3 linked regions of the Rattus norvegicus genome follow. Each later gene encodes a partner of the first gene's protein in a complex. Links are inferred from orthologs where the notes say so. Each region holds a gene or a part of one and is shown in the gene's direction. Other genes may lie near its edges.

Region 1 (4,998 bases):
ACACACACCACCACCACCACCACCACCACCACCACCAACACCATCACCACCACCACACAAAATGGGGGCACAGGGCATACTACTTGTGATTCTCCCCCAAGCTATTTTACATTTCTGCCTATTGACTTTGACTCTTTAGTGTTTAAGCATTTATTTTCACAGCAAGTCCTACCAGCTCTGATGGTATTCATAGAAAAGGGGTGAGAGGTTCATCTTCTTTGCTGTCTTGGCAAGACATCTTATTAAAAAGGAGAGTATAACATACAGACTTCAAGTCCACAACTCCATCTGAGTCCTGACATAGAGGATGGGTGTGTGTGTATGTGTGTGTGTGTGTGTGTGCGCGCGCGCGCGGGCGCGCGGTGCATCAAAGAAGTAGAGAATAAGGCAAAGCAGAGGGGAGACCTTGGAGTCTAAGACTTGTTTCACTCCTAATTTGTAGCAATGATTATGACCTTACATTGCAGCCTAGATCAATAGGGGCAGTTCATGGAAAGCACAACATGGGGAGGGCTCCACTTCTACCTGCAAAGGCAGGGAGAATAGTATGAATCTCCCCCTTGATGTTTAAGACACATTGAATCGAATGAACATTTTTTCCCCCCAAATAACCTTGAGTGATCAAGACTTTTTCTATTTATTAGTAAACCATCTCAAATTAGAAGTGTAAAAACCAAGTAGAATTTTGCTCCAATGGTACTAGTTTCTCCACTTTTTCCTATTTTATTCTCTCCCCTCCCCCTTTTCTTTGATACAATGTTTCATACTGCTCAGGAAGCAATTCTCCTGCCTCAGCCTGTCGAGTGTGGAGTTTATGACACACCATATCCGTCTCTTTCATTTCATTCTGTACTATTTGGAGATCTCCCAGAAATCATCCTTAACTGTCACGGTGTAGAAGGGTCAAGCTCATAATATCAGACTTTTTAACATAGTGTGCTGGTAGGGAAACAGAAATCACCTTAGTGACCGGAAAAGTTGGAACAGATCAGGAGGCTCTTGGAAACTTGGGTTTTTCTCTTCAGGATTCAGATTCCTATCTGGAGATACTGAGGACAGTTCCGTCCACAGATCTCTTGGTAACCCCCAGCGAGCCGGTGACAATCCTTTCTCTTTCCTAGTAAAGAGTATCCCATTTTCTAAGACAGATCTGGAGTCAGAGGCCACTTGAGGCAGTTTTTCCGGAATGGCGTTTTAGAAATAGGAAAGGGCAGCAGGGCTGTAGAGAGGCCTGGGGTGCAGCGCGTGGGCACCCATCAGGGCTCCCGCCGCGCCAGCGGCCGGAGGGCAGGCCGAGGACGCCATATTCTCGCCGACCACGCCCCGGCGGCCCGCGGCAGCCAAAGGACTGTGTTCGCCGGCCGGCCGGCCCCGCTTGAGCGGCCGTGACCGCTGCTCCCGGGCTCGCGCAGAGGGAAGCGGCGGGCGAGCCAGGCCGGCAGTCGGGGGCGGGGCGAGGAGAGCGCGAGCTGTCCAGGAGGGGCCTCGGCCCCGCCCCTTGCGCTGCGCCCGCCCCCTGCGCCCGCCCTCCTCCCGCCGCCGCCTCCCTCCCGGATCTGTGCTCCAGTTCAGAGAAAGGAGAAAATGTGTGTGTGTGGCGAGGGGGAGGGCGAGCACTGAGCAGCCGCGGCGCGCCTGGCAATCGGGCCGGGTGGGCGTCCGGCGGAGGCGGGGGCGGAGGCGGGGAGCGCGCGGCGGCCGGCTGCCCGGTTTGCGCGCGAGCCGAGTGGGCGCGGGCAGGCCGAGGGCGCCCGGAGCCGAGTCAGGCGGCGGCGAGGAGCGGGCGCGCCGGGCGCGCGGAGCCGTCGGCGGTCGCTCGCTGCTGGGCCGCCTCGGTGGATGAGCTCGGGCCGCTGGGCGCACAGCTTAGGGCAGCATCGGCAGCGGCGCCTGGAGGGCCGCGCGCTCTCCAAGAAGGCGGCGTGTGAGCGCGGCCGGGCGCGGCGGCCTTTCCTCGCGCGTCCCAGGCCCCCGGCCCCGCTCGTCCCCGGCCCGCCTGGGCTACGGGCCCGGCCGCCGTCCTCACCGCGGCTCCCTGAGCTCGTCCCTGACGCGCGCCCGGGCGGCGGGACTCCGCGGCCGCCGCTGCCTCGGGGGAGCGAGGGCGGAGGGCGTGTGTGCGCGCGTGTGAGCAGGGCGCCGGCGGGGCTGCAGCGAGGCACTTCGGAAGAATGACTCTGGAGTCCATCATGGCGTGCTGCCTGAGCGAGGAGGCCAAGGAAGCCCGGAGGATCAACGACGAGATCGAGCGGCAGCTGCGCAGGGACAAGCGCGACGCCCGCCGGGAGCTCAAGCTGCTGCTGCTGGGTGAGTGCGGCCCTTGGGCCCTGGTGCCCCCCGCCCCGGCTCGCCGCTGCCCTCCCCGCGCGCGTTCCCGGTCGGCACCCGCACCCGCGCGCGCGCACACAGGGGCCGAGGGCCGGGGCTCCGGAGCTGCGGTGTGCGCCTTCGGTGTCAGCTAGGGCCGTGCTCTGTGCGCCGCGTCTGCGGGACGGCTGAGCGTCCGCGCGAGCGGCGCGGGTGGGCGATGGCGTGCAGTGCGGTGGCAGGCCAGCGTCCATTGTGGCGCGTTGTAGGGTGGAGAGGGAAGGGTGGAAACGGGGAGCAGACTAGGGTCTGGATTCAGCTAGGAAAGGTGCTGAGGAAGCCTTGGCTGGCGCTCCAAAGAAACCCGGGTTAACGTACTGGGCAGGGGCGGGGCGGGAAGACTAGCCCAAATGTGCTCCACTGTAGCCACCAGGCCACTGACAGGAGTGACCCCAGAGAGTTGCATGGGCAGTGGATGGTGACAGGCGTCTCTTCTGCACCATTCCTTCTGGATAAAGATGAAGGATCCGGGAGTGTTGTACTGTGTGGTTGTTGACAGCAGACGGCTATCTTTTGTTTAATGAGGCGACCCAGATGTATGCCTGAATTCACAGCAGTTTCTACTGGAAACCAGCACAGCCTCTCAGTTACTCTCCTGGAAACAAACAGAAACCTTTTGTTTAAAACGGACATTTTAGTATCTTGCCATCTGGGCTCCAAGAAAAACGGGAAGAGTTCGAGAAAATTTCCCTCAGATCTCTTTTTTTTTTTTTTTCTAAATGACAATCCAACATTCTGCTTTAACACGAAATTAAGAAGAAAATGCTATTTTCAAATAGGAATTATATTGATTATTATCTCTGAGAGGATGTTTGGAATCAAGCGATCAGGGTTCATGTACAAGCTAGCATGACATAACTATTGCTACTGTGGTAGGAAGCATGAACTGCTTTGCAGGAACAGGCCTGAAAAATGTCTGCACTTGTGTTTATTTGTATGAGTAAAAATAACGCTTCTCAAACATTTCTGTAAGAAGAGGATATTGCTTCGTTGGTTGGGATTTGAGAAGTCCCCCCTCCCCTCTTTCTTTTCTATCTGGAGCAGTCCATCTGCTGGCTCCAGGAACCCATTACCTTGGGGACCGAACTGCTTATGTACTGGATCACTTATAGTCAGGAGCAAAATATCACAATCACAAATGGCTACCAATGCTATTTCCTTCCCCAGCGTAGGTTTTTTTTTTATTGAAATCCAGTTAGGTAAATGTGCACATATAAAGTGTTCATACAGTACAGAAGGCAAGGAGCTGAATAAAAAGGTGGGTTTTAGGGGAATAAGGCAAGGGGAGTGGGGAAATTGGGTAAGTCTACCACCCTCATCATTTCTGTTTCTTCTCATGGCTGAAAATGGAATGCCTTATCTTTTTCTTTCTTTCTTTCTTTCTTTTTTTTTTTTTAAATTGAGAAGGGAAAAGCAAGGGCAAGTGGAATAAATATACGGTGTTCCAGTATACAATTAAGAGGGAAAACATGTGTTTTAGAGATTTTTCTCTTAGACCTGGCTTTTAATTTTCCTTTGTTTACAATCTTCATATGTTTGTGTTTAGCTAAGAACAGGGCATTTGAGGTCTAGTTAACCAAACTTATTTGCCTGAAATTTGACAGCTCGAGGTTTCCAGGCAGCCATGAGTTAGGTTTGTCAGAGGGCCTAGGTTTAAATGCCTGAGAGGGGGATACACTTATAGAGATACTTAATTACATGCTGTTTATTTTAATAATATGCTATGCTTTAAAAAAAATGAACATGGGAATGATTTCCTGAGGGGAAATCCCTCCAGTCCTACTGCTAAAAATGTGGTCAGTGTAAGTGTGTGGCGGCCCTCCCTCACTGATTATAGATTGAAGCAGGCTTTAAACATGGCCCCACCTCACCCATCAGAGACAGACTGGTGGAGGTGGTAGAAAATTTGCTGTTGATTCAGCACCTGCATTTATGAACAACATTTTTTAAAAAACCCATACAGTTCTCTGTCAGAAGTGGGAGCCCTGGGCATCATTAACAATCACGGCTGTTCTCAGTGTGGATAGGCTTCTTCCAAACGCAGTACCCACATTATTTGTGTAATCATGATAGACATTAAGTGTAAACGTCTCTGTGTGTATGAGTGTGAGATTAGCAGGGAAATGAGTGTTGAACAAGGGAGTGCTTGGGGGAGGGGCTCCTTCCTGGTCTGCTGCCTTGGGAGTAGTCTTCATTTCCTAGTTCTTTCGTTCATTTTACCAACATCTATCCAGAGGAGATTACAGAATGTATTTCATCACATTATTAGTACCTTTGAAGGCTTCTGTACATGGAGGGATCATGCTTCATGTTGAAGTTCTGTGTAAAATTGTTTTCAAATAAGTTTTAACTCAAGGTTGACACTCAAGGAAACTGTCCTGCAAGGGAGCAATGTATTATTTACTTATTAAAATATGGTGGTATCACAAAACCGGTTATCTGACGAGATAATCAAGTGTGCCAGTAAGGCTCTTTTGAGTCATTATCCAGTACTTACGCTAGTATGTGCCTCATTTATTCTACAGAGCTTACACATTTTGATCTCGTTCTACTTGAAGAATGATCTCTGACATTTTATCACAGTAAAGAGTTTCATTTTAACTTAGTAACTTCTGTCTTATTCTCTTTAGA
Region 2 (4,731 bases), about 9.3 Mb from region 1:
GAGGAGGATCATAGGCCTGTACCTTTCTCCCCCCTTTTTTTCTCCTACAGAGTAGGGAGCAGGGGCAGGAAGTCAGAATGATGGGTGAAATCCTCTCAGGAAGCTGTGTGACCTTGGGCAAGTCACTTCCCCTCTCTGGGCCTCAAGTGGAGATAATAATCATACCACTGCACAAGGCCACAGCCAAAGACAACTAGATTCATTAAGTTTGCCGCCATTATGATGGCGATTTGGAGAACAGCCAGTGCCAGTCAGGGCTCCTCTTGAGGCTGAGAGCCTGGGGCAAAGACGCCGGCAGGGAAGCTCCTCCTTAGCTGACCCTCCTCCCCCAGAGCCAGCTCCAACTCTTTCTGGGTTTCTAGGTGACTTGGCTGGCCCCTCTGGATGAGTTCTACTTTAAACCTGCTGCTGCTGCCTCCTCTGTATTGGGGGGGCTCCCACAGGGGCCCCCAGGCAGGAGCCCCCCCCCGGCCAAGCCCTGCGGGAGGGGCTGCAGCCCCCACCCCGGCTGGTGCCCATGTGTCTGCCCCTTCCGTTCCTCCGATCGCTGGAACACAGATTTCAGGGCACCTGCTATGGGCCAGGAGCTGCACAACCCCTCCTTTGGGGACACCCACGAGGCTTCTGCCCCCTCTGGGCAAACAACCATCCTTCACTGTGCGGTTTTCTGCTACGAGGCTCACTGAGGCTGGCTCCCATCTCAGGGTCAGCAGCGCCAAGAACTGCGGCAAGGTTTTCTCTGGAAAACCAGGATGCCTGGGTCCTCAAAGGAGGTGGCAGCTCCAGGCCTCCAGGGCTAGGGACGGGGGAGGGGCGCCTGCCGGCGGGAGGCCCATTAGCCAGCTAAGTGCTCCCTGGGAGGTGGGGGGGGGGACTGCTCTGCAGCAGCAGGGGGTGAGGCGAAGTGAGGGCACGCGGGTGGAGTGGGATGGAGAGAGATGCGGTGATATTTCCTGAGTTCAGCTAAGTGCGGTAGGAGTGGGTTGGGGACAGGGGTCTGTGTCCCCCAGCCTTATTATCTTCGCCTTTTCCACCTGGAGTCCTCAACTAGCTGACCTTGGCATGTCTTCGGTAGTTCGAACACCCGTCTTTCCAGGTGCACCCTCAATAGCCCCGGGCTCCCAAGCTCTCCTACTTTATCTAAGACTCCGGAAAACTTGAGACCTACTGAGCCGGCCAACAAAGACCCCCCCCCCCCCCAATTCCGCTCTATCATCCCTTTGGCTGCAGTCGCCGCCCCGACCGCCAGGGGGCGCCGCCGCGGGTCGGGCGACCCCTCCGCGGTGGGAGGGGGCGGCACCGCCCGACGGGGCGGGGCTCGGCGGGGGCGGGGCCGGGCGCCGAGTCTCCCGTCCGTCCGGGACAGACTGGCTGGCGGGCGGGCGCTGACGCCGCGGGGCCAGAGCGGGCCGCGCGGGAGCGTGTGGAGAAAGCAGTGGCACCGTCCGTTCCCGTCGGGGTTCCATAGGTCCCCGAGCCGCCCCTGGCTTGGCCATGGCGGGCGCGAGGCCCGGCGTCCACGCGCTGCAGCTGGAGCCGCCCACCGTGGTGGAGACCCTGCGGCGCGGGAGTAAATTCATCAAATGGGACGAGGTAAGAGAGTGGCTGTCCCCTACTCTGCCCTGATCGAAGGATTCCTTCAGTCACATTCGGCTAGATGCCAGGGACCCCCACTTCAGTGTAGCCTGACCACTGCACCCCTATTCCAGCCTTGCTGCACTCCGGAAACTTGAGTCCCACTGTTGTCCTGGTAATTGAAGACTTTGTCGTCGTCGTTCCCCTCACCGACCCGCAAACCAATCCTTTAGCTGTGGTCAGTTGGGTTCTCCACTCCTTGGCATGGAGACTTTGAACCTCAATAAATCCTGTCCCTCTTCTTACTCTTTCCCACCCTTGCCAGACGATGAATATCAGTCTCCATGCTGGTTCTCAGTTTCTGGTCTTGTCCTCAGATCCTTGTGCCTGGCACTGGGCTCCCAGGGGGTATAGGGCATCCTTGTCTTGGGTGGGGTGCCACTGGGATCCTACTCTTAGCAGTGCATCGCCTGAGCTATTCTATTCATCACATTTCAGCCTGTCCTGGTTGGTACCCCTTCATCCTGTTTCTGGGTTCCAGCGAGCTTTCTGTTCAGATGGGAGCGCCAAGTTACCCCTTACCGTAGACTTTGTCCCTTTCCAGGTCCCTCCAACTCTGGGAACTTTGCTCCCCACTCCTTAATTTAGTGACTTTGAACCCCAATAAATCCTGCCCTCCCCATTTTTTACTACTTTCTCCCTGGTACTTTCCTGATACCCACCTGCGGCTTCTTATCCAGATATCACGTCTTACCCACGTTTCTGGTTTCTGTACTGTTCTCTCCCCTGCCCCCTGGGCCCCTCGCTCCCTAGGGCCTCAACTCAGCGGCCTGAGCTTCCTTACTGTTCCTTCCCAGTCGGGCCATAGGCCTGGAAGACGCTAGGGCTAGGTTTCTTTCCGGCTGGGTGGGGCAGGAGTGGGAACTAAGGGGAGGGGCTGGGGGCGTGGCCTTAGCTGCAGGTGTGCTGGGCAAGGGTGGGTACCCCTGGGTCCCCAGAAGACCCCTTCCCCCAGGCCAGCCTAAAGGGAAAAATTTCTCCTTTTCCTTGCAGTGTGATAAACCCAAATAAGGAAGTGGGAACAAGGAGAGGGCCTGGGGTGGGGTGGGGGTGCCGAGCAAAGTTTGGAACTGCAGAGCCAGAGTCCTGGGTAGCCTTTGGAGGTTAGGACCCTGAGGATGGTACCACAGCGGCTTTAGGGACAGTACCCACAAATTTCTCCCTTTCTTGTACTACTGGTGGCTGGTTAGTCAGGCCCAGGGCAAGGTTCTGAATCTCCTGGAGAGGTTGGGACCTGGTTAGAGTTGAAGGATTATGAATGTCCCCAGATCAGCTGCTGTTCTTTTGTAAACCAAGACTGCATGGGTGGGGCAACCCCTATTCTCCCAAGAGACAAACTGAGGTCTCTGCTATGAGGTTGATGCTGAGATCAGGAGCCAGGGGTGGTCCAGAGGGGTCTTGGCTCTCTCTGTTTGCCACGTGCCAGGACTTTACAAGTGTACCCCTGGAGATCCCGACTCCTCAGTTTCCTCCTGTGTAAAATGAGGGTGATGCAGGACACATCCTACACGGCGTTGAGGAACATGAAGGGGGGTGAAATTCAGGGTGTAGAATTCGCTGTGGCTCACAGTTGGGGCTGTGGGACCTGGAGTGTATACTGTTGGTGGCAGGGTTGTCTAGAGCCAGAGTTTGGGGATTTCAATCCTCTTTTGGCTCAAGGGAGAGTAAGAGTAAGATTGACTTGAGTGAAGTCCTTGCTGGTCCTGAGTCTTGGGCTCCGTGGGGTAGCCTTGGGCATCAGTGACTGGGTCCTTTTTAGAAAGTGAGCCTTGAGGTTGGGGATTTAGCTCAGTGGTAGAGCGCTTGCCCAGCAAGCACAAGGCCCTGGGTTCGGTCCCCAGCTCCGAAAAACAAAAACAAAAACAAAAACAAAAAACAAAAAACAAAGAAAGTGAGCCTTTTCCTCATATCCTGCCTTCCTGTCAGTCACCATAGGGTTGTTAGGGAGAAGAGTGAACCCCCTGCCTAGTCTTCCTGAGGGACCTTTTCTATAAGATGGGTGAGCCTAGAGGCTATAAGGATCCCACGAGGTACAGTGTGATGGGTGATAAGCTTTGAGAAAGATCTTAGGGTGGCCAGATACTGTGAGGCCTCAAGGACAGAGAGAACTTTAGCTCCAGGCTTCTAAGCCCTCTGCTCTCATACAGGAATAATAAGGGATCGGAGGCAGAGGATTCTAGCATTCTTGACCTCTCAGGCCTTGTTGGGAAGCCAAAGCTAGAATGGGCTCCTGGAGACCTCCACAGCAGTTTCAAGGTAGAGAAAAAGTGAAAGTACAGGGTAGGGTGTGGCAAAAGCTGGGTGTTAGAGACAGGGTAGTAGCCTATGGGATAGAATCTCAGGGTAAAGGTGAAGCTGGGAGACATGTTAGAGACTGAACCTGAAATGTCACGCTGACGACTTGTCTTCGTCTCCAGGAGCACCTGTGTGTCGGCGGAGCGTCCTCTTAGCTCACTGGCAGAAACCAGCTACCGTAGGTCCAGCTCTCACTCCCCTGACCCTTGTCTTGTACTGCCCTCAGGAGGCCTCCAGTCGGAACCTGGTGACCCTGCGAGTGGACCCCAATGGCTTCTTCTTGTACTGGACAGGACCCAACATGGTGAGAGTGGTGTTGGTGCTGCCGGCTCAGGCCTAGGCCTCTAGGGGTGACCCCTGCCCTTGTCCTGGGGGTAAGGCCTAGCCAGGGGGTTGGCATTCCACAGCGTGAGTGGGAAGACCCCTCATATTTCTTAGACACAAACCTTGGCTCTGGTTTTCCCAGGAGGTGGACACACTGGACATCAGCTCCATCAGGGACACAAGGACAGGTCGTTATGCCCGCCTGCCCAAGGTGAGGGATACAGTCTGATACTGATGGGGCTAAGGTTGTCAGGGGACAGGACACTTCTCCTCCTCACCTTTGACTTTTACTACACAGGACCCCAAGATTCGAGAGGTACTGGGCTTTGGGGGTCCTGACACCCGGCTGGAGGAGAAACTGATGACAGTGGTAGCAGGACCAGATCCAGTAAACACCACATTCTTGAACTTCATGGCCGTGCAAGATGACACAGTCAAGGTGGGTTGGGGTCGAGATAACCCAGGAAAGCAGATGCT
Region 3 (4,808 bases), on another chromosome or scaffold:
TTCCCAGCTGTTCCATCCCCGGTACAGACATCTCCACATGCTCCAGTCTCATCCGTAAATTGGGAATAGCAAATGCTCCTGGGAGTGACACTTGAAGTCCAAATCCTAATTCAAACATCATAAAGAGTATTAGTACAACCTGATTGAGAACCTGATTGAGGACTCTCTCTCTCTCTCTCTCTCTCTCTCTCTCTCTCTCTCTCTCTCTCGGCTGCTAGGTTGAATTGTGCTGTCTGGCCCAAGCAACCATATTATTGAGATTCGCTGGGTGATTTCTCCCTTTATGTCTGGTAAACACTATCTCATATCAAGCATCATGGGCCTCTGACTCTTACAATCTTCCTTCCCCATCCTTCATGATTTCCCATGAGCCTTCGGTGCAGTGCTTGTGTTGCTGATGCGTCAGTTGGCGGTAGGGTGTCCCACAGTCCCTTGTTTTTCTGTATCTTGTAACAAATTGTCTCTATCTGTTGAAAAAAAAAAGAAACCTGCCTTTTTAAAGAAGAACTACATTTATCTGTAGAAACATGGCAGCCATGAGTTCTCCTCTCAAGTCTATGACTTCTCTAAACACAAGTAGTTAGGCTTACAGTACCAGGCGTGGATTCATCCCTATTGAGGGAGTCTTAAGTTTACTTAGACAATTGGTGTTTATCCCCATGATAAATGTACCCTTATTGCACCACTGTGGATGCCTTGCTGAAACACTCATTGTTGCGGTTCATAGGAATAAACACAATCTGTTCTAAGAAAACTGGGAGGCACTGAAGTTTCCATGTCTGCGTTATAACGGCGTAGTATACCATTAAGCCACACTACCTTAACTTCTTTAACCTTTTTCCTATTGGTAGGTTTGGTGTTATTTGCTTCTTGCTTTTATCTTGGTGTGTGTGTGTGTGTGTGTGTGTGTGTGTGTGTGTGTGTGTGTGTGTGTGTGTTGGCTATCAAATTGCTTACACAAAGGAATTAGTAGGCTTTAAGGCTGAAAAGCAAATGTTGGGCTTCTACCAAATAAATTGATTTTCCACTTCACTCAAGTATCATGATGAGTGGCAGGTGCTGTGCCAGAGCCCGAGAACAACTATGAGCCAAGCTGGGCTCTCCTGCCTTCAAGAAACACACCCTGATGCTGGGGCATGGCTTACCAGATCTCTGGGACAGTGGAGGGAGGGAGCTGTTTGTGCACAGACCGCAGACACAACGCTGGAGTCCAGCAGAACGCCTGAGAGTGTTTATTATACTGTGAGTTCTGGATCTTCATTAGGAAAAAAGTGCCCCATCCTCTGGCACGGTTGCCTTGTGATCCCCTTTTCATCTCCAGGGAGGAGCGGGAAGTGTGAGTGTATGGGGAGGTATCCTCCCGACCAACAGCAGGAGCAGGAGCGGGAGCCTGGGAATGGCTAGAGCCTCATCGCAGGCAGGAGGACTCCAGCGCTGGACCTTTGTCTCCCAGGTACCAAACCCGACCCGGCAGGTGGCCTGGGGGAGGGACGTCGCGCCCGCAGCGCCCGGCTCCGAAGCGCACAGCTCAAAGGCTGACCTGAGAGATCTAGGGAGCCCGGGACTCTCCAGGCCGGCTCAGGCACCGGACTGTAGGTGTATTTGGAGGGATTTGGAGGCTGGAGACCCCAGGAAGCACGCAGGCGGGAGCAGGCAAGGGGCGGAGCCCCGGGCCCGGCCAAGGTGGCCGTCAGAGGGTCTGCGGGGAGGCAGTAGCTTGACCCAAGGCGACCAGGGAACTTCAGACGGTAGCACGCCACTCAAACAAATTAACTTGACATCGCAAGCTGGGCGGGCTGGTACGACATCCTGACTTCAGCATCCAGCTGTTCCTGGGCAGACAGAGGGCCAACAGGTGTTCCTGTGGAAGAAGCCAGGACAAGGACTCCAGGTAGGGCTTGGGGACACCAGAAGGGCGGGCACAATGAACCCTAGTAGAAGTAGCAAGAGGGGGCAGAGGTCTGGGGGCAGGGAGCAGTAGCAGCTCAGACCTGGGATTCCTGAATATTGGCTTCAGGGACAGCGGGGTCGGATGCTTACGAGGATGAATAGAGTTCACGCTAAAACAAGGCTGTGGGATGTGTCTTGTGCCTGTGACACAGTCAAAGAGAACATTTCCCAGTGTGAAGGAGAAAGGTAGATGATTTCTGGAGCGTGGTGTGTGTGTGTGTGTGTGTGTGTGTGTGTGTGTGTGTGTGTGTTACCAGCTGCCTGCCTACCCAAGGTGCTTGCCTCAGTGGCACCAAATTAGGGTGTGTGGTTACCAGCCTCCATATTCCTTGAAGGTTAAAAAAAAAGTACGTTGATGGAGTTATTGTTTCGACATTGTAGTTTTCAGTCGATGATATGCACTTTAAACTAGGAAACGACACCAATGCATGTCTGGAGACCAGCTTCATTTCTAACACGAGTTTACTCATTGTGCTAGCTCTCTTCTGTCCTGATTCTTTCACCTCCCACCTTCCTGCTCAAGGAACATACCAGAAAAGTATGATGTCCCCCTCACTCTCCTCATTACCCGCCTCGCTCCATCTCTAGTATTCTTCCTCAGAATACTGGGGCAAAGGGAGCCAGCTCAGGGGAAGACTGAAGGCCTTGCCTTCCAGAGACTGGCAAAGAGGCATGTTGGGGTAGCGCCCCTGACAAGTTCCCACCTGTTCTCGGGGATGTCTCAGCACAGTAAAGTGATGCAGTACACTGTTGAGGGAGGATGAGGAGGGCTGTCTCCCCAAACTCTCTGCCACCCCAGAATTCATTCCCTCTCCCATCTGAACTCCAGGTCCCCAAAGTGGCATGCTTGGGGTTTTCCCCCTAGAGGACCTGGAAAAGTGAGTTTTAAATTGGCCCTGTGATAGGCAGAGGGAAGAGAAGACACAAAGGAAGACATGGAGGAGATCGGAAAACAGTGAGGGAGCAGCAGACCAACATCTTTGAGAGGAGAGGAATCCTAGGCCAGGCCCTGTCATTCAGGAGCTGACCCTGAGTTCTTCTTAGGGAAGACACATGTGGTGTTCATGCCGACAACTCACGTCACTCACTCTTTTCCAGGATCAACAAATCAAACCATGTTTGTAGGTCAAGACCGAGCAATTGGTCGTGTTTTTCATTGAATGAGAGGTTCTTTAGAAGCTGTATGAACTGTTTAGAGTAACCTCAATCTACATATACCAGTGTCCCTTATTTTCTTCATTTTTCCTTCATATGCTGCCATTCTGAACTGGATCCTGCCAAGTTCAGGCACCAGCTGCTCCCTCTTCTGCAGATCTAAGGATGATATTGTAACTAGAGAATGAATCGGGATGGGTGCAAGTGCGGGTGGGTTGATGCGTATGACTTATAAACAGAGGAATGGTTGGATAAAATGTGAAAAACATCAGTATTCACTTAACGTGTTTGTAGAGCCTAGCTACACACGAGTTCCTGGGAACAAGATGGTAAATAAGACAAGGTTCCCCCTTCCCTGTGCTTACAGATGCTTGGGGGAGGGCAGCTGTCAGTAAAATGATTATCGACTATGTGATTGCAAGCTAAAATAAACCTTCTAAGGGAAAGACACTAAGTCCTCCACGGGTGTACATAGATGAGACTGTGAGACCGGGAAAGTCTTTCTCAAACAGTCCACTGCTAGGGTTCTAGGCTAATCAGGATGTTAAAGAAATCTGATTTTTGAGGTGAGGTCAGACTGTTTCAGTTAGGAATAGTATTTGGCTGCTGGTCACCTAACAGACCTGGTGCTACGGAGGGCCCCTTGACGTGTGCCCACGTGCAGTTGGTGTTACTGGCTTGAGGGGAAAGAGTGTCTTGTCATCATAGGCTGGGTGTGTTGTCCATTGGCCGTGGTTTTCCATTGCTATAATTCTTGCTTTTAAATTAAATGTCCAGATTAACTTAATTCCTATGATTTCATTTTATTGTGTACCATAAAATGTATACTGCGGTATAAATGTGAATCATCCACTTTCCCTCTGAGAAGGTAAATACGGAGATAAGGCTCACGCTGCCTATGTGGTGACAGTTCAGTGCTATCACTGAACAGCGTCCCAGGTAAAATAGCTGTGGCAGGTGGACTGCAAAGATTGCCCCTCTATCCCTGGCTGCTGCTCTCATTGGAAGGATGTGTCTCCTCTACACACACACACACACACACACACACACACACACACACACACAGGAAACTAATTCCTAGCCTTGTACACTCAAAGCTCCAACTCTGTCCTGAGCCACAAGCCCAGCTTGTATTGTTCAGAAGAGAGCGGTATTTAAAGATTTAGTGTTTTAGATACTATAAATTTTCATAATTGGCTTCTTAGTACGGACAGGTATATTATATCGACAATTGCAGTGATGCTGTAAAATGAATAAAAATCTCACAACATAAGGTCACAGCACAGAGCCTCTAGAAAACAATGTGCTTCACATTCATCCAGCACAAACTTTCATTCATTGAGCATTGCTTGCAGTAAACTTTCTATGTGCATGGAACTCTGCTAACCATTGTGGGTAAGATGGATTAGAAAGCCACAGTCCCAGCATTTAAGGAGCCCATCCCTCCTCTCAGGGATAGAACTTAGGTACACAGAGAGTATTTTGTTTGCCAGGTGGAGGTATCATGAGCAGACACAAGGGAAGAGAGTGGTCAGTTCTCCCGACCAAGGAAGAAGGTTCAGTTCATAAAGAGTCACCACTTGAGTTGAATCTTGAAGAATGAGGTACGCAACCAATTAAAGAAAGAGGAGAGAGTGTTAGAGGGGTGAGAGTTTTTCAGGAAAACAGCGTTGTTAACAAAACCTGAGGTCTGCAATATCGTG

The links. The genes of interacting proteins can lie anywhere in the genome.
Region 2: the proteins of Gnaq (region 1) and Plcb3 are in contact, whole or in part, in a cryo-EM structure (PDB 8UQO), measured with the Homo sapiens proteins. The link is inferred for Rattus norvegicus from reciprocal best matches to the Homo sapiens genes GNAQ and PLCB3. Residues at the interface, in NP_002063.2 of Homo sapiens: Pro185, Thr186, Thr187, Ile189, Glu191, Pro193, Arg202, Gln209, Arg210, Ser211, Glu212, Arg213, Arg214, Lys215, Trp216, Ile217, His218, Val240, Glu241, Glu245, Glu249, Glu250, Ala253, Leu254, Arg256, Thr257, Ile258, Thr260, Tyr261; in NP_000923.1 of Homo sapiens: Pro257, Arg258, Leu259, Asn260, Glu261, Val262, Leu263, Arg707, Asp709, Lys710, Ile719, Asp721, Gly722, Ile723, Val724, Ala725, Ser845, Asp846, Tyr847, Ile848, Pro849, His852, Tyr855, Ala856, Ala858, Leu859, Ile860, Asn861, Pro862, Ile863.
Region 3: the proteins of Gnaq (region 1) and Casr are in contact, whole or in part, in a cryo-EM structure (PDB 8SZG), measured with the Homo sapiens proteins. The link is inferred for Rattus norvegicus from reciprocal best matches to the Homo sapiens genes GNAQ and CASR. Residues at the interface, in NP_002063.2 of Homo sapiens: His63, Leu196, Gln197, Ser198, Ile323, Tyr325, Ile337, Arg338, Phe339, Phe341, Ala342, Lys345, Asp346, Ile348, Leu349, Gln350, Leu351, Asn352, Leu353, Glu355, Tyr356, Leu358, Val359; in NP_000379.3 of Homo sapiens: Lys644, Ala645, Asn647, Arg701, Val702, Leu704, Val705, Phe706, Ala708, Lys709, Ile710, Pro711, Thr712, Phe714, Phe801, Arg873, Thr876, Ala877, His879, Ala880, Phe881, Val883, Ala884, Arg886, Ala887, Thr888, Leu889.

Annotation. Positions count from the first base shown.
Region 1 is NC_086019.1:222,850,377-222,855,374, forward strand, and holds the start of Gnaq (guanine nucleotide-binding protein G(q) subunit alpha), read left to right. Parts: upstream 1-2,076; 5' UTR 2,077-2,171; coding exon 2,172-2,307; intron 2,308-4,998.
Region 2 is NC_086019.1:213,586,187-213,590,917, reverse strand, and holds the start of Plcb3 (1-phosphatidylinositol 4,5-bisphosphate phosphodiesterase beta-3), read left to right. Parts: upstream 1-1,482; 5' UTR 1,483-1,494; coding exon 1,495-1,593; intron 1,594-4,156; coding exon 4,157-4,234; intron 4,235-4,396; coding exon 4,397-4,465; intron 4,466-4,552; coding exon 4,553-4,693; intron 4,694-4,731. UniProt on the Homo sapiens protein: Catalyzes the production of the second messenger molecules diacylglycerol (DAG) and inositol 1,4,5-trisphosphate (IP3).
Region 3 is NC_086029.1:77,739,055-77,743,862, forward strand, and holds the start of Casr (extracellular calcium-sensing receptor precursor), read left to right. Parts: upstream 1-1,559; 5' UTR 1,560-1,891; intron 1,892-4,808. UniProt on the Homo sapiens protein: G-protein-coupled receptor that senses changes in the extracellular concentration of calcium ions and plays a key role in maintaining calcium homeostasis.